3 linked regions of the Coturnix japonica genome follow. The protein of the gene in region 1 interacts with the protein of each later gene in a pairwise test. Links are inferred from orthologs where the notes say so. Each region holds a gene or a part of one and is shown on either strand. Other genes may lie near its edges.

Region 1 (6,833 bases):
AAACAACCCTTTAAAAAGTATTAAAAGAGAAAATACTTTGGAGAAAACACTCGGCTGAGTGATGTATAGTGGCTTTCCATAGAAATTTTAGCCCTGAAATGTTGTTAATCTTTAGCACATCATTTATGCAGGTCATATTTTATATCAGTTGAAAAAAGTTCAGTCCTCTCTCTGTTTTTCCACTCTGAGCTGTGTATATGTTAGGCATGTTTTGAAAAGCCTACTTGTAACTCTTGTTTTCTTAGTGGAGTTGTGCTCTGAACATAAGTTTTGAGCCACACCAAAGACATCTAAATTATGGAATAGCTGTTGTTATTTTAGCCAGCTGAGTACTTGATGCAATACATAAAAGGCAATGATTAGTAACTGTATGCAGTGATTAGCGTAGATGGTGCTTATAGGCCTCTTTCCTCCCCTTGCCACAGATTTCTTATTCAGAATTGGGTGAGTGCCAATTTATTGAGAGCTCAAAGCTAAACAGGGACTCAAGTTGCTTTTGGATGTGCTATGTGATCAGTTGTGTCAAACACTTTGCGTGGTCTTCAGAATCTGAGCAGGTTTTCTCTTCTGCTATCACCAGCTTTCCCAAGCTATGTACACAAGTACACAACAACACAAGAGTTGTTGCAGGTGTAGAGCATTGTGTTTTTAACTTGTGGTCACCAATTTGAAAAAGCACATGTCAGATTTAATTATGAAGGTTCCTTTCTAGTCTGTAAACGTTGTGTGCAATCTGAAGCACTGCTTATGCTCTTTTGTGAGCCTCCCTTTCTTCTGTCAGAAAGAAACAAGCTGTTTGCACAGGTGTCAAAAACAAATGAAGAAAAACTGGTTTGTTGGTTCACAGTGAGTCTGAATGAATAGGGATGTTCCTGCTCCTTCCACACTCTTCACTTTGTGTTTATGGGGTGGGTAGGCAGCTGAGTGCCAAGTCTGTCCAATGGGACAGTGATGTGCAATATGATGAAAAATGACAGAAACGCTACCACGCCGAGGGTATTGCTTTGGTTTGATACAATAATTATCTTAGGAACAACTGCGAGGGAGCTGCTGAACCACACGGAACTAATTAGACCGAGTTTTGTGATGTTTTCTTCTTTCAGGAGACCCATGTACTGTTTCTTCACAGCTGGAGTTAGAAGAGGCGTTTCGGTTGTATGAACTAAACAAGGATTCAGAACTTCTAATTCATGGTACAGTAAAATTTAATGTATTACTTCTAATGTTTGCACCTACGGAGAACAGGAATTTTTTCCTCATGTTATCAGTGTCTTTTGCACTACTCTGTCTTCTTCAGTTAAAGTCTATTGTGGCTGCCTGTCAAGAGGATGCCAAAGACGACGTCAGCCTTTTTAGCTGTCAGTACTTGTCAGTGTTCTTTATGGAATTAAGAAAGGAAAAAAGATGTAAAAATGATTTCATCTGCTCCTATATGTGTATCTCTGTTTTTTATTATTCTGCTTTTTGATCTGTCTTGTCTCCATTTACTTCTGCTTGATTGGCTTCTCAATAAATATGCACCAGGGTTAACTTTCCCAAGTTTTCTTTTCCTACTGCAGCTAAATACACTGGAAACAAAGAACTAATGTAGGCAAAATCATACTTGGCTGTTCTGGAACACTGTAATGTGCTTCACCTACAGTCCAGATTTCCAAATACCCACTGCAGTGATTGGACAATTGAGAAACCAGCCTCACTACTTGTTGCCAGCATCTTTACACAAGTTACCTTACTCCGCTGTCCAGTTGCATTTCACACTTGGATCACTGTTATGTCCAGTACAGGGTTTTGTGGCATCTTTTTTTCTTGCTTGCTGTTAGAATGCATTTTAGCAATTTTCTGTTGCCTTTTTACTATGTAGGTGTTGTATTTAACCCAAAGAATTGTCTTCTGTATGAAACAGATTAATAAGAAGCTGATATTTTTCTTGCAGTGTTCCCTTGTGTACCGGAACGGCCTGGCATGCCTTGCCCAGGAGAAGACAGTAAGTAGGCATCTTCATTTGGGCATACTTAAAATAAGTAATGTGTATTCTAGAAAAAGTTGATACTCTATTGTTTGATTTCCTGTGCTTATGACTATTAATAACACGAATCTCTACAGCTTAAATATTAAAAAGGAATGTTGTTTGTCATTTCTGAGTCATTGTTAATAAAGCATTTTTGTATTTCTGTTAACTCTCCACGTGTCTCTGCTTTCCTTGCTTTTGCCTCTTCCATGGCAGTTTTCCATTCTGTTCCTGTCTCTAGTAGTTGCCAGATTGCTCGCTGACTGATGTGAACAAAGACTTGTAACCACTTGTAATGAGGTGTCAAATAATCAATTTCAGACCAACCTTTGGGTAAAATCAGGAATATTTTGTGAACACCTTTGTCATGCTGGTAAATGTACTAACCATGAGAGGTGATTTTCCATATGTTTAATGTAGGCTTCTATGCTGTTGTTATTCATCTTATAAAAGATGATGGGTATGCTATGCATGCACACGTCTGTCAGCTTGATATCCAAGTTCTTGACAAATGTCAGTGTGCATGCTTAAATGTTAACTATGGCAGTAGGATTAATGCTGCCTTTCTGAAGGGGAGAAAGAAAGGTTCTAGGCTACATCTGAAATAGCTTTGCAACTTGAGGTAGTTTTGCATATTCTAGTTTTCAGTTTTGGGTCCTGAAATGCCTGTAATGAGACAAACAAACAGTCAGAAAATGGTGGCAGCTGTGGACCTAAGATACTGGAGGGTTTGTGCATGCAGCCATAACAGGACATGCTCCTGAAATGGACCTTCTTCCCTCCCTCCCACAGCTCCTCCTTGAATTAAGTAAGGTATGTGCATGTTTTGCAAACAAGTGCTTGTGTTGTTTGGACAGTTTTCCTCCTTTTGACTCACTCCGCCTTTTAACTTTGGAAAGGCAGAATTAACTTTCAGATGGTCAGAGTATTTTGCTTGATGTTTTCTCCAAAATTGGAAAAATGAAGAAAATACTTTGTGTTTCTATAAGGCTGCAGGAATGAAACTTTACTCTGCAAATCACTGTACACAGAAGCACCAGTAAGAAAGTACTGTAGTTCTGTATTTATATCTTTTATGGATATAATTGTATGTTTTTCCTCTTAGAATCCATTTATCGCCGTGGCGCCCGCCGGTGGCGAAAGCTCTATTGTGCAAATGGTCACACTTTCCAAGCCAAACGATTTAACAGGGTGAGACTCTTGTTGGGTACTTAAAACCATGTTCCAGGGTTGTCTTACTTTTATAATTTTAATGTTACTGCCTTGAAAAAAATAAAAAGGTAGATTTATTCTAATTGCTGTTGACTGCCTGTAGTTCTTAGATGCTGGTAACTGTAGTTTCAGGAAACTTTATCCATATAAAATTAGGCTCATAAAAACATAAATAGTTGCAATTCACTTTACAGTGTACTCTGTAACTATGCTGTCACGGAAGTGTTCTGGTGCTCCCTTAAAATCTCCGGGGAGGGCAGACTTTAACACTGGCATTAGATGATTGAACTGAAAGTGCATTTGCAGTTGTTTAAGCATACGTCGAGTTGCTTATGATGCACAGTTTTCCTTCACGACTTAAACAAAACCTGAGATGTTTCTCTAGCATCTGCTTATGATGGCGTAGAAACAATTGAAAATAACTGGCCAGTTTTAATACTTTCAATAAGCAATAGCCAAAGACGATTGAGAATCAAGAGAGCTATCTGCGGCTTGTATCTGAAAAATTAGATAAAATAAGAATTGAATAAGCAAGGTTCCTTGACAGCTTCAGTATTCTTTCCTTTTTCTCTAAGCTGTGAATCACGTGCTTAAGTAACTCTCAAAATGATCTCCACTAAACTTCGTCTTCAGCATTATTCATTTAATATTTTTTACATAAGCAATGCTCTAGGAAATATTCATTGACCTCTTCCCGGTCAAAGGCTGAAGGCACCATCCCACTTGCTTTTGTTGGTGCCCTGCATTCATGGTTCTTTTGAGTTATGAGTGTCCTTCAGTGGGTGGTGATCTTCCCATTTCCTCTTAGCTGGTGGTTTATCTATGTTGAAGCTTTTGCTTTCCTGCTGTTCTCTCTTCAAATCTAAGGACTCCCCTACATAAAGATAATGAGACCTAGCAAACTAGCTTGGTCACAGGAGCCTGCTTATTCATCTGCACTGCTTTTGACCTGCAGTTGACACCCATCTCTCTGGGTCCACGTGCAGCAGAAGAGGCTGACTGTGCCTGCACCTTCCCATGTAAATGTGCTCTTTCTGATAAGCAGTCGCTGCTTATTGTTCATTTGTAATTCTTGGGCTTTTCTGTGTTGTATCTGCTTGTTCTATCTTAAAGTTCTGTCATAGGCTTTTCAGGTACAGTAGCAACTTGAGTAGGGGTTTTTCTGATCTCCTATCCTCTGTTCTTCAGTAATGGGAACGTGGCTGAATAGTTTCTGTTATTTAGCTTTGCTTTTAATCAGTTTTATTGATTTATTCTTCTAGAGAGCTCACTGTGCCATCTGCTCAGACCGAATATGGGGCCTGGGTCGCCAGGGGTATAAATGCATCAACTGCAAACTCCTTGTTCACAAGAAGTGTCACAAACTAGTCAATACTGACTGTGGTCGTCATACACTACAACCAGTAAGTACGGTTTATCTGAAATGTTGTCTTAAAAAGCAACAATAAATGAAATAAAGGAGCTTGTTTCATACTAAATGGCTTTCAGACTATGCTCAGCAAACAATCACAGTAGATAAAGCTTAAAAAGGCTGTCATTCTTTATGGCTACTGCATTACATGACAAGAAAATAGAAGAGATGCTTAGCAAAATAGCATTTCAGTAACAAGAAGGTCTTAATTCTTGTATAGATTGTCTATTTCTGTGTCAGATGGTGAAAAGCAAGGTAAATATGACATGTAGTTACATAGTGTTTATATGAACGTGTACATATATTACATTTCACATATTCAGAGTGACATACAAGTAAATTCTCTAAACATCTGTTAGATTATTAGACTATTTTGTTTGATAGAAAAGGAAGGCAAGGCACAATAGTTCTGACCTCCTCCTAAGTGATGCAATCATCTTTAGTTCTCAAGTCCCCAAAAAGCAATATGTAAATACCACTTGCAGTTTAATGTTTAAAAATGGACAGCTGGAAGTCTTTATTTCATAAATTTATTTGGATAATAAAGCTGCTGAAGTATGTGCAATTTTCTGTCTCATTTTGCATCTAATCTACTACCTTCTCCTTGCTGTATGAAGTTTTCTTCAATAGCTTCTAGCAACTTGCCATAACTTCTGGAAAGCAGGAAAAATAAGGTCTATGGTGATTCTTTTTATACTGTATGGACTAGAGCAGTAGTTATGTGGATTCATCTAAAACAGATTATATTTCTCAGAGATTCTTTATTGTCTCTCAAATGCTTTTCACAATCTGTTAAACAAATGTTGTGCAAATTTGCAGGAACCAATAATGCCTATGGATCCATCGGTGCATCCGGATAACGTAGAATCAGGTAAGATCAGTGCTTCCCTTTGAAACATGAACATGGGTTTTAATATGAAACAGAATAACTTTAAGCAAATTGCTTTAAGAATTCTGCTTTACTTCTTTTTGTTGGGCAAGACAAAGAGGACAGCTGCTTTAAAAACTAAGGGGGATTTAAATATAAAATCTCCTATTTCCTGCGTCTTGCAGTTTGACAAACCGTTGCAAAGAATCGAGTCTGATACTTAGATTTTTCCATCAGTAAGGAGTGTACTTTAAACATCATTAAGCAAACAAAAAGGCAGTAAACAAAGTTACAGTGGAAAAAAATTAAACAAGATTTCCTGGTGTTTCAGTTTCAATGGACAGTGATTTGTTAAACAACAACAAATGTTATTTGGCACAAGATACAGTGTGTCAAGGAGAGTCTAAATAGATTTCCAAATATAATCACAACGTTATATAAGCCATAACAGTTGTTATTGCAGTATTGCAAAAGAATGATTTTGCTAGCTTAAAAACAACAACAAAAAATACCAGTTTTGAAAGCATATAATAGGTACATTTAAGCTGTTTCTCCTTGATTCAACTAACGAGTGGAAATTTTTAAGAGAAAGAAAATCGAGTTGTGTTCCATGGATCTAATTGTTTTCCTTGCATCTCTAGTGATTCCATATAATCCATCGAGTCATGAGAGCTTAGACCATGTTGGTGAAGAAAAAGAGGTGAAGTATCTTAACCACACTAATTGTGTTCAGCGATCTTCAACTCTGGCACTCTTTATTTTATTGCTTTAGTAATTTAACTTGTCACAAAATGAAAACCAGTACATAGAGCATGTTTGGATTGCTCACTCGGTGGTCGCATGTGTGTCTTTCAAGCTGATTGTTTTTAAAGCCTGGGTTGAGATGTGCTTTGATTTAGAAAGTTTTCCAAATTCTTCTAGTTTCATTTGTTTTTCATCTGTCCTGTTTGTTCTGCCTTCTTCCCTTTCCCTTCTGTTCCTTTTCCTGGCAGTGCAGTTTAAGAATTGCAAGTGTTCATTGAATCACTTGTGTTTTTATTGTTCTATTCTGTTTGAAGTGCTAACTGTCTTTAAAGAATAGCAACTACAGTCGTTAAAATTGACAAGCCTGTTCATGAACTCAGAAGTATCTCTATCTGTAGGCAATGGGCATAAGAGAAAGTGGCAAAGCTTCTTCCAGCCTGGGTCTTCAGGATTTTGATTTGCTCCGAGTTATAGGAAGAGGCAGTTATGCTAAAGTATTGCTTGTTCGATTGAAGAAAACAGAACGCATTTATGCAATGAAGGTGGTGAAGAAAGAACTCGTCAATGATGATGAGGTAGGTAAGCTCTTT
Region 2 (6,833 bases), on another chromosome or scaffold:
GTGTTTTCCGATTCTTTGTTTTGTATGGAATGAAATCTAATATACCGATAAGCTCCAGCAAATGTATCTGTCTTATGTTCTGTTATTATTGCTTAAGACTGGTAGTGTAGCAGCGGCATGCAGCATTAGACAGGACATAAAGATGCTTCTCATAAGCGAGTCTTACTCACGTGGGTATCTCAGGTGAATTCCTGGTACATTGCCATAGCTTGTGCTGTGTTTTTCCAGCTGATTCTTCTGATTTTACGTTTCTGTGCTTCATTAAAGTTGCAAATTTTTGTTAGTGCAGAGTGGAATGTGGTGCAACGTTTGATATCAAATGGAAACATTGCATGAGATTAATATAGACAATTATTACATGAGATTAATATGGACAGGGAATTAGTTTAGCTTTTCTACTTTATCAGCTTCGTAGTACTGAGCATGTGGCAAGTTTTGTTAGAGCATAACGTCTGTGGAAATGGTGGGGGGAAAAATTAACTTCACATGCTTGGAAATGTGACCGTTCATATCCTTGCTGCAATCACACCATGTTTGCTTCAAGTTGAGAGTAAGATTGTTGGTGGCGTTCTTTTAAATTCCAGTGTTACTTAACCGTTCAAACTATGTTGTCTTTCAAAACCAAACAACTGCAGATTGATACAATGCTTGGAGAGTTTCCATAGCGCTCATACTTGAAATAGCTGCAGCAGGGTTCAGCAGGAACTCGGTCACGTTCCATCACTGACATCACACTTCAGCTGCCTCTGACGTGGAGGAAGCTCCTCCTGCAGGCTGTTGTTTGCTTTGTGTGAGTCATCTCTTCTGACTTAAAGTGACTGAAATAGGAATATTTCTAGAGTGCCCCCAGAGAATTCCATTATTTGAGAACTTTGAAGATGAGGTGTTAATAGTGTGTAGGCTGTTCTGCTGTGCCTGTTTGAGTCTGGGCGGTGTTAATGTGCTAACAATAGGGTCCTTGTCTCCTTATTTTCGTGCCTTGGTATGTGAGAATTCTAAGGCCTCTATTCTCTAGAGCTGTTTTAATCAGTGGTGAGGTAAGGGTTGCTCTGAGGCCTGGTAATTTACACCTCCCCACCTGCTGTGTGTAACACCTACCCCACCATGTGATACTGAGACTGGAACTCCTGGCAGCGTTTCATTCAGTGTGCCCTCGCCTTCTTAAAATTGAGCCAGGTAAAGGAATAGTTTGAAGTGATGTTCATTGTCCATCAGTGACAGGATTGACAAAAATGCCACCAATTGGCTGCTCTGTATTTTGTAGTGAGGAGCTTATTGTCCTTCTAATTCTTCTACAAGCTGGAATCTTTCAGAAGCAGAGGCAAATCTTCTGAATGTTCTTGAGGGGCGGCTGGTTGCTCCCTTTTATTTCCTTCCTCCAGAAAGAAGCAGAATTGATATAAGAGCATCTCGTGAAAGTTTTACTGCACGGTTTGTACTGAACATCACCAGCTATTCTTTGTATCCATTGGGTCAAAGTGGCTTTTCATTTCTGTTCAGAACAACTAGGAATATGAGCAGTTCTGTCTTGCATATGTTAACCATAGCTCTGTATTAATGCATATGTGCCATTCTAAAGCTCTCTGTGACTTCTTTGAAGAATTGCAGGTCGCCACGTGCCATAAAAAGTCGGTTGTTCTCCTTTCTGTTCTTGAGCAGCCACCATCAGTGCTGGGCATCAGTTCTCCCCCTCACCCAGAATGTCTCTTACTTCATAAATAAATGTCTGAGAATCTGCAATTATTCTGGCACTAGTTTGTCACCCTAATGCCACGTTCCTGTGTTAGTGAGTGCTTTGATGTACATGGATGGAAACAACTTGTGAAAACTTTGGGGAGGAAAAAATACCACAATGCAAATAGGAGTTTTATGCCTCTACAGAATTGCTGTTTGTAGTTCTTAGTGCACTCTTAATTGCAAAACATTCAGAATATTTTTGTGCTTCAATTGTGTGTTAGCTTTCCATGTTAATAGGATGTATTTTGTTGTAGTTTGGAGCAGAATTTCGGCGGTTCTCTTTGGAGAGGTCCAAACCCGGGAAGTTTGAGGAGTTCTATGGATTGTTGCAGCATGTGCACAAGATTCCCAACGTCGATGTTCTCGTGGGATATACAGACATTCACGGAGATCTGCTGCCTATAAATAACGATGACAATTATCATAAAGCAGTTTCCACCGCCAATCCCCTACTCAGGATTTTCATTCAGAGGAAAGGTAAGTGTGCTTGAAGTGGGTAATTACTTGTTTATAATTATACTGTTTACTCGGTATGAGGAATGGAGTAAATGCCCCATTCCATTGGGTTGAATTCCACAACTGTAGATGATCAGATTTATTCACATCTCTCTTGCAAGAGTTTCCTCAGGCAGCCTGTTTATACTTCATGCATTTTGCTTGTGTTTAGTTTGGTTGGATAAAATCAAATCAAATCTATAGCAAATGCTTCTTTCTGATTTCATTTTGATGCAAATGAACTTTGAACTCAGGATTTATAGGGTTTTATGTCTGTGTGTTGGATGCGTTTGATTTAAAATTCCAGTCTTGATTGGACAAGGGGAAAGAAAAGCTGTTACAGGGTGGAAAGGAATCCTACTGCATAAATAAAGTGTTATGTGTCAGTATAGAGACTAACTTTTAATATGCTGCTTCTGTAACGCTTTCCTGAGAAAACAATGTGGAGTTTTCAAAATGGCAGTGATTTCTGTCAGCCAACCTCAAGTGTGAGTGCTGATTATTTTGTCAGTTGGCTTTATAAACTGCACGCATCCTAGGTCCAAGTTCTGTTGTCTTTTTAGTGTTTGCCTTCATTTGTGAAGCAGAATTCAGTTTTTAAGTTGTGTGTGTTTTTGTCCAGAAAGAAATATTCAGTGTAGAGATCTAAAGGGGGTGGGAGGTTGGGGAGTATGGAGTCCTAGGGATGTGACTTGAGATTTCTTTGTTCTCTGAATTAAAACAAACCTTACTGCTACACTAGTAGATTTTCTACTTAAATACAGGGTTGTGTGTATATGAATGTAACTGTGCAAATCCTGTGTTGACAAACAGTGAAGCGATTGTTCTTTAAGTAACACACCATGAGTTGCTCAGCTGCTTTGTAAAGATGTGTGCTGTTTCTGGCTGTTGCTTATCAACAGGTTTGTTTTCCCTAGAAAATACTTGGGCACCAGAAGCTTTTATTGACGTTCTCACTCCAAAGTAATAAACTCCACAACAAACAGTCTGACACAGAAGCAATATTCAAAAGCTGTGGCTGTTTGCCAGGTGCTGTTTCTGACAATGTGTTTGTTTTGTTTGTGTGGATCTTAATACAGTGAGGTCTGTGTGCTTTCATTTCTGTATTGCCAAGGAGATGAACTGTTAAGAGAATGTAAATGCAGAAAAGCTCTGATTCAGTTTAATCTCCTACAGTAGCCATATGAGGAGGACAGATAAGCCACTTTGTCAGACTAGGATTATTGAGGTTACATTTAACACCATATGGTTTTTAAATTGTTACTAGCGTTAAACACTTGATGCTAATTGTAACTGGTGTTACATCTACTATGCTTTGTTCTTCATACTTTTCAAAAGTTTGATGGATTATTATTACGTTTCTGGTGCAAGGAATTGAGAATAGAATTGATAGTAATGCACAACTAGAAATAAGATTAACCTAATTAATCTAATAATGTTAATAATGCTAGAACTGATTGTCAGAAAAAGCTCTATAGAAAATAGTCCCTGTCAAGAGGAACTATATAGTCTTCTGACTATGGAGTTCTAGGTGACAAGGAACCTAGACTGGCATCCAAATCCAGCACTGTACTGCATTCTGTGTTATTTGGTCACTTCTAACTGTGAATGAATCCATCAGCATCCTAGCTGTATAGAACAGGGGCCTTTACAGTGGAAAGCAAGGAAATATTTGTTATTTTTGATAACTTAGTTACAAATGAGGCTGAGCCGTTTGAGATCTATGTGCAGCAGTCTTACCATTTAGGTATGTATAGTCCATCTAACTGCACAGTTATTGTCTGTACATCTATGAATTTGAGAATTGAGTGTTTGAACTAATGCGTGCTATTAATGGGGCTGCTCTGATCTGCACTGCTCTGAAACTATTATTCACGATAAATAATTCAGTTAATTTTCTTCCTGTAAGGTTTGTTGTGGCTTCCATAAACTGTTGAATCACCTAAAGATTTTGCTGGAAAAATCTTTTTAAGATTCTTATAAAGCAAAACTTCTTTTCCTTATATTCCCAACAAGAATAGATGGGAATTGAAGATTTTTGGCCAAAAGTTATTGCTGGCTGGGAGGGGTGGCAGAACAGAGGAGGGAGTTTACATTGTTCTAAAAGACTGGAAACTTTATTATGTTCTCTTGCTGATCTAAAAGCTCATGTAAGGTATGAGTGAACTATGATAAAATGGAGCATAAATAACATTGAACCTGTATCCAAAGAAGGATTTAAGGTGTGGGAAGGAGAACAACAGGATTCTTTTGTAATGATAGCAGTATGTGGCAGTGGTGATGGTGCAAGTCTAACTTAAGGAGTTATGGCATGTCAGGGTAAGCAGCTTCTATCTGATGTTCACTTTTGACTGTTGATTTGTGAAAACTGGGAGGTTATGCATCCAAAGGACTTATGTTTACTGATTGATGTGGTAAGAAACCTGGATATCCCTTAATGAAATGAAATTATTCATCCTCTCAGGTTTTTCTAACTATAACTAGTGTTTCTGTAACACTTGTCTCAGCATTAAGTCTGAATTAGAACTTGTTGTAGCACAAGTTATGGCTATCAGTTTGTAGAAAAGTTGCATATTGGAATTTCATCTGGGAGTTTAAGAGATTAACAGGTACTGCTGACATCTGGAACTTAAACGTTGAACTGCTGTATCATAATTAAATCCAGATGTGTGGGAGTCGCTCTGTCTGTGGGAAAAGCCTTACTGTGAATAACAACAAGGGAGAGACAGTCCCCACAGACAATGAAGGGCAGCTGGGGGGTTGGTTGTGTTTTGAATACATTCTTCATAGAGACCAGAAGTCAGACCATGATTTCAATTTGGAATCCATAAAGATCACTTAGTGTTCTGTATTGTAATTTCATATTCCTGTGCATCATGCCCAGTGCATGGCTTTATAGAGTAGAAAGGAGGTTCTTAATTCACTTCTAGTTCTTAAGGTGAACTTCCTTTTTCCATGAAAAACAAACTTTTAAAAACAATTTTCCAGAGAAGATTCCTTCTGTTTGTGTCCAGTTTCTGAAAAAAACATGTGGGTTTGTTGTAATTTGGGCCTATTTAAGAGGTGATTTAATGGGCCTTATTTGAAAATGGTAAGTTGCGCGCTTATTCCAATATAATAATGATTTGGGGTTTGTGCAAATGGGAAGTTGCTCATTGTGAGTTACGTTGGTTTGCCAGGAGATGGGGAAACCATTGTGAGTGTCTTGAACTGATGTGAAACCAGATTTGACACTTGCAGGCAGTGTTAAATTCCCTGCAGTCCGTCCATACAGATCGGTGCCATCTTGAGTTTGAAACTGCAAGAAACAAATCACTCCACTTCTATGTGGCCGCTCTCCTTAATGTTATCTGCAGTTAATACCTTGTCCCTTGGCTTTATGCCCAAATATCTTTCCCTGTAGCTTTAAACTGATTAGCGAGGTGCCAGAACAAAGATGCCTTTGTACTCCAGAGTATTGCTTTAACTTCTCTGCTGCTGGACAAACTTTCTAAACAGTTGTGCTGTTTGGAAGAGATATGAGATATGGAGAGATGAGTTTTCTTCATTGACCTTGTTGTTTTTTTCCCCAGAAATTATGCAACTTCATAATGTTTGCACTAGTTTTGTGTTGTTAGGCTTTTAATTCTAGCTATGATACAAGAATCAAAGCCTCTGCTTAGATGTTTTGACATATAGCTTTTATTTAATGCAAAGATTAAAAGAATTGCTTCATGTTGTCTGAGAACTCAGCATGTTAGTTTTCATGGAGCACAGGATTATTAATGGCTGATCTCAGATATCTCAACATACATTTTACGCAGTGTTAAGCTTGCACTTGCAGAAGTGTTTTGCAGGAAACACTGTCCACCTATTGCAGGCTTTGTTTGGGGAGGTGGATTTTTTCTTTGGGTGTTTTTAGATTGAGCCACCTTTTGTCACAAACTGACTTGACTCTCTTAGACACCTAATGAACAGATCTTACACTATTTCTAAAGCCTTCTTGCCTGATGTTAGATCTAATATTTTCTTTTAGTCTTTTCTGCTTAGTTTTTCTGCTGAAGAACAGCTGATTTAAAACGTTTCAAACTCAGTTCATCATTTTTGGAGTTAGAGCATACTTAACATGGCAGATTGCTTTGGAAAATGGGCATTCTTTGGACAAAAGAAGTTGCTTCTGGAGAACACATTTATTTCCATTAGAAATATTTGTATGGCTTTGATTCGTTGTTGTTTGTTTGTTTTTAATAAAACACACACAAGTCATTTGTGCACTTTCCTATCAAATAGTGGCAACTGCAGCATTGCTTATACAAACAGCATTGCTGGAAGTATGTGCATGCAAGGTCCCTTTGTTTCTGTTCCACAGCCGTTTTACCTACATTGCATGGGGGCAGGGAAAAGAGTGCAGAATGCAATAAGGTTTCTGGAGTTTGAATCCAGGTCACTTGGATTGCTTCCAGGAGCTGGGCAATAATGGGTACTTTGGCTGCTTTCCCTTTTTCATTCTTTCTTTTACGATGATCCGAAACTTGAGGAGAGAAAACTAACGAATGGAATTACTCTGAATAAAATTAAAATGTTTCTAGGAATGTACTTGTTCTTTCCATTTCTAACCTTTC
Region 3 (7,261 bases), on another chromosome or scaffold:
ATTATCAAGCTGTCCTTACTGGTGTTTTGTATTTAGAAGAAAAACTTGTCATTGAAAACTGAGACTGCTTTGTTGAACTGCCTGAACTGGTGAGCGAGAGGCAGCCCTGTACTTAGGGGGACTGCTGTTGAACAGATGGGATCACTGTTTTGCACATGATCCTGGAATGCAATAAAATTGTTTGGTTCTGGGAAAGAGTTTTCCTCCCGTGATATTATCAAAATGGCCAAAAGGCCGGGTTCTGAAATCCACAGTCCCACATGTAATCCTCACACATGCTTGAGGAAGACACGAATTACGAAGGAAACAAAGCATAGAGACATCATTTTTGCAGTGAAGTATTCTTACTTCTTGATATAAAGAAGGTGCAAAGGGCCGAAAGCAGATATATAAGGATCCTGTTTCTGCTAGCAGCAGAAATGGGGGAAGGACACTGTGTTACTGCCACAAAACACACAGCCTGTGGTGATTTCAGGACGCTGGGATGCAGAAACACATTCAGGAGTATTCTGTCAAATTGGCTCTCTCCAGCACCTTGACACAGCAGTCCTTAATGTCTCACTTCCCCTTTCAAGTCACTGAGGATGGCAGCGCAGGATGGAGGCTAGGCCAGAGGTTACAAATATAGACCCCTCATCCACAGAGGCCAGGGGAAGTCACACTGCTGACAGGCTTAGGGCCCCCAAAGAGCTGCAGTGAGGCTCTGCTGCTTTGCACCCGCTGAGCATCTGGCCCTAAGCCTGTGGGAAGGAGGATTTAATGCGTCTCATGCTCCGTGCAGCTCTGAGCAGCTGCTTTGAAGGACTCTGGGAACTTGTGCCCTAGCTGAAAGCTCTGGAAAGGATCGATTGTGCACAAGCATTCCAAAACTTCAGTGTTTTACAGGGCGTGAATGCAGCCTGGAAACAAATATGTAACGCAATAAGCAGCTTCTTGGCAAACCTCTTTGTAGATCAGGTGGGTGAGGAAGAGATTACATCCATTCCTGCTGATTAAGAGCTGCACAGTGCCTGTCCATGGACTAACTCTGATGGGATCAGGTGACCCCCGCCTGGTACAGCTATGTGCAGTGGTCTGGCTAACATGGGAGGGATTTTGCTGCATGAATAAGTGTGAGCTCTCCCTCCAACTGGTTTTTATCATTATTATTAATCAGGAGCCACACCTTTCTATCTATCTTTATCTTAATATGGTAACTGCTGTAGTGGATCTGCCAGAGAAATCCTGCAAAGAACAGACTTAAGAAGTCATCTGATAACATTTTTCCTAACCTAATAGCTAGATAGGGGGCTCAGCCTCTTATCCCTGGTAATAGTGATAGCATGAGAAGGAATGGCCTCAGGTTGTTCGTTCCAGTTTGCTGCATCCCACATCAGGCTGAAAACCTCTTGAGTATTTAGATGAGAAACTGACCAAAACCCACATTTCAGCTTCTTCCTTCCCTTCCCTTCCCTTCCCTTCCCTTCCCTTCCCTTCCCTTCCCTTCCCTTCCCTTCCCTTCTCCTTTCCTTTCCTTCTCCTCTCCTTTCCTTCTCCTCTCCTCTCCTTCCCTCCCCTTTCCTTCCTTTCCTCCCTCCCTCCCTTCGCTCCCTTCCTCCCTTTTCCCTTCCCTCCCCTCCCTCCCTCCCCTTCCCTCCCCTTCCCTTCCCCTTTCCTTTCCTTCTCCTCTCCTTCCCTCCCCTTTCCTTCCTTCCTTTCCTCCCTCCCTCCCTTCCCTCCCTCCCCTTCCCTCCCTTTTCCCTTCCCTTTTCCCTTCCCTCTTTATTGTAAGTCAATCTATAATCTTACTATCAAGCCATAAATCATACAATATTCAGGGAAACTCTGCCGTGCTATTTGAGCTATAGCAACTTGAAGGTTGTGTTAATCCCAATGGTCTGTGGCAACGAATCAGGTGAGACCCGAGAGTGGCCTTTTACTATCAGAAGGGGGAAGCAGTGAGAAAGAAGGGGACGGATTCTTCAGCAGTGTTAGGACAGTGATCATAGTATCACAGTCTCGTGCGGGTTGGAAGGGACCCTAGAGATCATCGAGTCCAACCCCCGGGATTCGAGCCTCTGTGTAGCAGAGCGGCACTTCTACCACTTGCGCCAAAGGGGGATTCGAACTCAGGGCCTGCGGTGTTGCAAAGCAGCATTCCTACCACTGCGCCACCGGGGCACACAGAGTGATAGGACAGGGGAACTATTAGTGCCAAACTAAGCTCAATGCTATCACTGCAGTAGGTCCCAATGGGATCAAACAGCCGCTGCCCGCCACCCTACACCATGAGGGCGGGCACACAGCGCCGAGTGGGCGCGGCCACGCGGTTAGTGGGCGTGTCCTCCCGTCCCCCCGCCGCGGACGGGGCCGCGCTGCTGTCGGCAGCCGGATCGCGATCGCGGTGTTGCGGCCGCTCTCATTGGCGCGCCGGGACAAAGTGTCCGTAGCGGCGTGGAGCGGAGCGGAGTTGGGCGCCGCGGGGCGGCGGGGGGAGGAGGAGGAGGAGGAGAAGACGGGGGGGGCGGCAGCGGCGCGGAAGATGAACCGGAGCTTCAACAAATCTCAGACTCTGCGGTATCTGGAATGCAGCGCGGTGGAAGTGAAGAGTAAGGTGAGCGCGGCCTCGCCGTACGGCCCGGGGTGCTGAGGGCGGGTACTCGAGGGCTCCGTTCCCGGCGGTGCGGGCGGGCGCGAGGGGCCCCGTGCCCGTGGCCGCCGCTCGATCTTTTGTTTCGCCGCCGGCCGCTCTCTCGGCGGGGCAGCGCGGGGAGCTGCACGGGCTCCTCGGCTCCTCAGTGCCACTGAAATAAATGATGCGGGGTTACTGATGTCCGTCCTGCTCCCACAGCCGGGCTTGAGCTGCTCCCGGGTTGGGATGCGGCCCCTGCGCTCATGGCGAGTTGTGGTCCTGTTCTGTGAGTGCTGAGTGGTGCTCGAAACACATAAGCTCCGGTCTGGAGTACTGGCTGTTGGTAAGAATGGATGTGTGCACTCTTCCTTCAACTTAACGTATCCATTGCCTTAATAACAGCTTTAAAAGAGTCCTATAATAAAGGCTCGGAGCCTTGTTTACAGCTGCAGCGGTCCATAGGGTCCTGCACCCTGCCCTGTGTAGGTGCAGGGCGTTAGGGGGCTGTGAGCACACACTGTGTGGGCAGTGAGAAGGAGCTACTTGGTGCTCACTCCTGCTGTGCATAGAGCCCATGGGGTCCCTCTTACAGCACTGTCCTGTGGTAGGGATAGAGCCAGCAAGAAGCTCTGGTCGGTGCTGCTACATGAGGGGCTGTGCAGGACTAGACTCCAACTGCTGTTGGGAGCACCTACGTACTTACTTGCCTCTGTTTTGCAAGCACGAGGCCTGCCCCAGCCTGCCAGAAAACCAGAAAGTTGAGTCTGCGTACTGTTGGTTGGTGCCTGTCGGGCCTTGGCTGGGTGCTGCTGGGCACCATGTTGCAGCCACCAGCTGGGGGGCTTCATAGGGCTGGGGTGGGCTTTGTGGTGGAGGGGCCCAGTGGAAGCACTGCCTTGGAGCGGGGCATTCCTTTCCTTGTGGGTTGAGTCAGACCTGGAGGAGCTGTGGGGAGTCGTACAGGCTGCAAGCTTGACTTTTAAAATTCTATTTATTTATTTATTTAGCCTATGGTGTGATAGCCAGGTGATTTCCTGCCTACACCCAGCTAAGTGTGTAATGCGTTAGGCCGCCATGTGGAAATGGCTTCCGCTGTGCATCAGGCCAGCTTTTTTTCTCTGGGCAGATGGAAGGTGCTTTAGAAGTCTCCTGGTCACTGAGTTGCAGTAGGTCCCGAAGGGGAGGAGGGAATATGAGCCCTGTGCATGTGTCTGCTCTCAAACATGGCAGTAACTGTAATTGCAATTGCAGAGTCTTGTGCTTTAGGGAGCCGTCTTCCTTCAGGCCTGTCCTGCCCCCATCTCCGCCCCTGAAGCCGGCCTTATAATCAAAGCACTTGCAAGCTTATTGCTGGGTGGGAGAGGAAGGAGAAACCTGCTTAGAAATTGGCACATGTCAAAGGAAAATAATAATTGAATTGTAATTATGTCTTCTCCCTTTTCTCTTCTCGAGTGTTTCTCAACAGTGTAAATTAGAAGCTCAGTTGTTATCTAGGTGTTGTCCCTGTCGCTCAAAATAAATGTTTCAGCCTTTTTAGACAGGATCTGAAGCCACTTTATCTTGCAGGCCTGAAAGAGCCGTGTATTCTCCTATGTCTCATACTTGCCCAGTCTGGTGACAAGTGGTGTGGCTGCTCCCTTTGAAGAAATCACCTCTAATCTCTAAAAAAAGGTTTCCAGATGACTCTTTCTCTCCCATTTACCAAGATTTCCAGAGCAAACAACGCGTGGGGATTCTTGTTTTATTAAGAATCCTTCCTGTTGGCACTAGATCACAAACCTATTCTTCTAGTCTTCGTTTTTCTCTAGCTTTACTGAGAGGTTGAAGGCCCCTCTCTTTGTGAATGTAAACCTATAGAAGAACCAGGACTTATAAAATAGGAATTCCTGCATTAATACTGAGACTTCCTCTTTAATTACAGCTCTGTGTAGTCCATCTTCTTTCACCCTCCTCCAATTGAAAAATTGCTTTATTTTCTCTAAGTTGTATATACTGATAAGAATTCTTTTTCAGGTTTTAAAACACACTCTTAGATGCCAGAAAAGAAATAATCCTTTACAAAAGCCATCTTGTTTAGCTGCTGTTGAGAACTCTGATCAGTAGTTGAGGACTATGGAAGTACAGCTGCCTGACTCAGGTGCTGGTTTGGATGCTTGGTGCTAGTCCTTGACACTGCTGCCATGTTAATAGTGTCGTGTTTTCTTGTACTACAAACTGATAGACAAATGAACAACGTGACTAACATCCTCCTACTGTAAACAAGCCCGTTAAGATAAACATACTAGTTAACCATAACTGTATTTCCTTTGCTCTCTTCTCCCACCTAATTTCTGCTTTGTTCCAGTGAATGTTGGTGTTCAGCCGAAAACCCTGTATGTTTAAAAAGGTTTGTGTTTTTAAGTAGTACTTTAGTTTCTTCCAAGTTAGGTTCGTATTTATCGTACCTAGAATGCAATGAAAACAAGTGCTGCGAAAAATCCTATGACCAGGTGTTTGAACTGCTGGTTTTGAGCTTCGAAACGTTGAAGAGAACTGTCCTGCTGCCTTGTGTTATGGTATTTCCCATACTCTCCTGTGCTTCAATCCACCTCCAGGTTCTCACCCCTGCTTTTGTGGTCACTTTTATCCTAGGGACTTAGGAATTCCTGATCTGCTTGAAATTCCATCCAACAAGTCTGTCTTATGGAGTCGCCTTCTAGATTTCAGTCTCGCCACACTGAAACTGTCCTAAAGGCCACAGAACAACGGACCTTTAATTTGCTGGGATTGCTCTTTAATGTTGAAAAGCTGTTTACAGCCAGAGTCAGAAAGGAATGTCTCCTGTTGGAGGCTAATATACCTCGTGGAGGCTCTGTCTGGCAGCCTGCAGGACCAGCCACCTCTAAGGAGCTCTTTGGGGCTGCAATTAATAGTGCTTTCCTCAGTAGTGCCTTATCATGCCTTTGTGTGCGCTTAAAGTGAAACACTCTACTAAAGATTGATTGCTTGCCCCTAATTACATTTACAATGCAGCCAGAAGTTAAGGATGAAATGTACCTTCTGAGACATTCCCTCCCTGGAAGTGAAGGCAAGGTCTCCCAGCAGCATTTAGTGCCGTTCCCATTGGAAATTCCTGCAGTTAATTGAGGCAGGGATGTCTGGGGCAGGGTGTGGTGTACCAGCCCCAGGCCATCCAGCCTGGGGCCATCCTACTGCTTCCCTGTCAGGTCTGGTAAGGTGTGCCTGTGTGTCAGGTTGCTTCTCTGCTGCTGCTGGTGGCTGTGGAGAGCTCTGGCAAAAACTAAAAGGGTCTTAAATGCGTTTGCTACCAGCCAGAGCCCTTACTGGTTACGTTACTTAGAAAATGGTGGGAAAGTAGTTTGCTCTGGCTGGAGACCTGCACTAGTGCATGGGCTGCCTGTCTGCCTGCAGGCTTGTGTGCTGCTGGCTGTGTGTAATACCGGGTCTCCTGACTCAGTGCTGCTTTGTCCTGTGGATGGCAAGGGGCCAGCTGCTCCTTTTCTCCTTGTGTTGATGGTGGCATGCCATGGATGTGTGATTCCCGTGCTGTATTAGTGCTAAGGCTTGGCAGTGCGTATTGTGCAGTGCTCTTGAAAACACAAGACCAGTTTGCTCCACATCCTTTGCAAGCAAGATTCCTGAAACTAGGAGACTGGAATTGATTCCCTTCTGAAGGGGGAGAACAGCCATGTAAGGCAAATATTTCTTTCTTTTAAGGTGTTTGTTGTGAACAGCCGCTGCATGAAGTAGGGACAGCACTGTGGGATTGAAGATATTTATCATGAGCTGAAGCAGAGAGGGTGGTTATGCTGGTGACCCTAATTGAGAAAGCCACTGGAGCAGAGGGGGGGACGGGTGATAAAGAGTGTGACTTCAAAGGAACAGGCTGGGAAAAAATATCTTCTGTTGTATGGTGATGTGGAAAATGGTACTTCAAAAAGCCACTGAAAAGCACAGACCAGTAGTCAAGCAAGAGTCTAACTGTGCAGATGTGTGAGTGGTGTTTGTGGGTTTCAGATACTGGCCCGAAAAGATCTGAAGGTAGCTAACATCTATCTGTGGCTCCTCCATGAAGGGTGGTACAGAAGATACAGGTGCTAGGGGGAAGCTGTGTAAGGTTCTTGTGTTCAGTGATGAAGAATTTAGGTGAGGAATGGAAAAGAGTGAGCACAGTGTGGCTCAATTTGAGGCATATGGCAGAAGGCAAGATGAGAACTTGTTGCAGAGAGCATCTGCTTGGTTGGTGGCATCTTGCTGCTAGAGATGGCTGTGGTGAGATGGAGAGCAGTGCCAGAGAGTGTTGAGTGAGTCGGGGAAGACATGGCTGTAGGAGAACTGGGAAGACATAAGGATGACAGTGGAGCTCAAGGCTCAGTTGAAGCCACCCGGTACAAAACCATTTACTTTTTGTCTTCCCTCCTTCTCACTGATAAAGCAGCCCTGGTCAGGTCATCTTCATTTTGAAAATCTCATGGGTAAGCAGAAATTACAGCGTATGCATAGATGGGAGTGTTTGTTTTTCTTTCTGTCCCTGATACTTCATGGGAGATGTAGGTGGTTAGTGTAATTCATGTTTATTGCTAAATGTCACTCTCTGATGTTCTCTTATTACAATAGCTTAAACTCAAAGCTAGCAATAAGCCAGAGGGA

The links.
Region 2: the proteins of PRKCI (region 1) and PARD6B interact in binary tests that used the Homo sapiens proteins (3 or more experiments, as listed by UniProt). The link is inferred for Coturnix japonica from reciprocal best matches to the Homo sapiens genes PRKCI and PARD6B.
Region 3: the proteins of PRKCI (region 1) and PARD6G interact in binary tests that used the Homo sapiens proteins (3 or more experiments, as listed by UniProt). The link is inferred for Coturnix japonica from reciprocal best matches to the Homo sapiens genes PRKCI and PARD6G.

The regions. Positions count from the first base shown.
Region 1 is NC_029524.1:17,532,592-17,539,424, reverse strand, and holds part of PRKCI (protein kinase C iota type), read left to right. Parts: intron 1-1,103; coding exon 1,104-1,193; intron 1,194-1,933; coding exon 1,934-1,984; intron 1,985-3,113; coding exon 3,114-3,199; intron 3,200-4,482; coding exon 4,483-4,623; intron 4,624-5,450; coding exon 5,451-5,502; intron 5,503-6,140; coding exon 6,141-6,199; intron 6,200-6,641; coding exon 6,642-6,818; intron 6,819-6,833.
Region 2 is NC_029535.1:12,086,429-12,093,261, reverse strand, and holds part of PARD6B (partitioning defective 6 homolog beta), read left to right. Parts: intron 1-1,991; coding exon 1,992-2,214; intron 2,215-6,833. UniProt on the Homo sapiens protein: Adapter protein involved in asymmetrical cell division and cell polarization processes. Probably involved in formation of epithelial tight junctions.
Region 3 is NC_029517.1:80,909,837-80,917,097, reverse strand, and holds the start of PARD6G (partitioning defective 6 homolog gamma), read left to right. Parts: upstream 1-2,477; 5' UTR 2,478-2,521; coding exon 2,522-2,593; intron 2,594-7,261. UniProt on the Homo sapiens protein: Adapter protein involved in asymmetrical cell division and cell polarization processes. May play a role in the formation of epithelial tight junctions. The PARD6-PARD3 complex links GTP-bound Rho small GTPases to atypical protein kinase C proteins.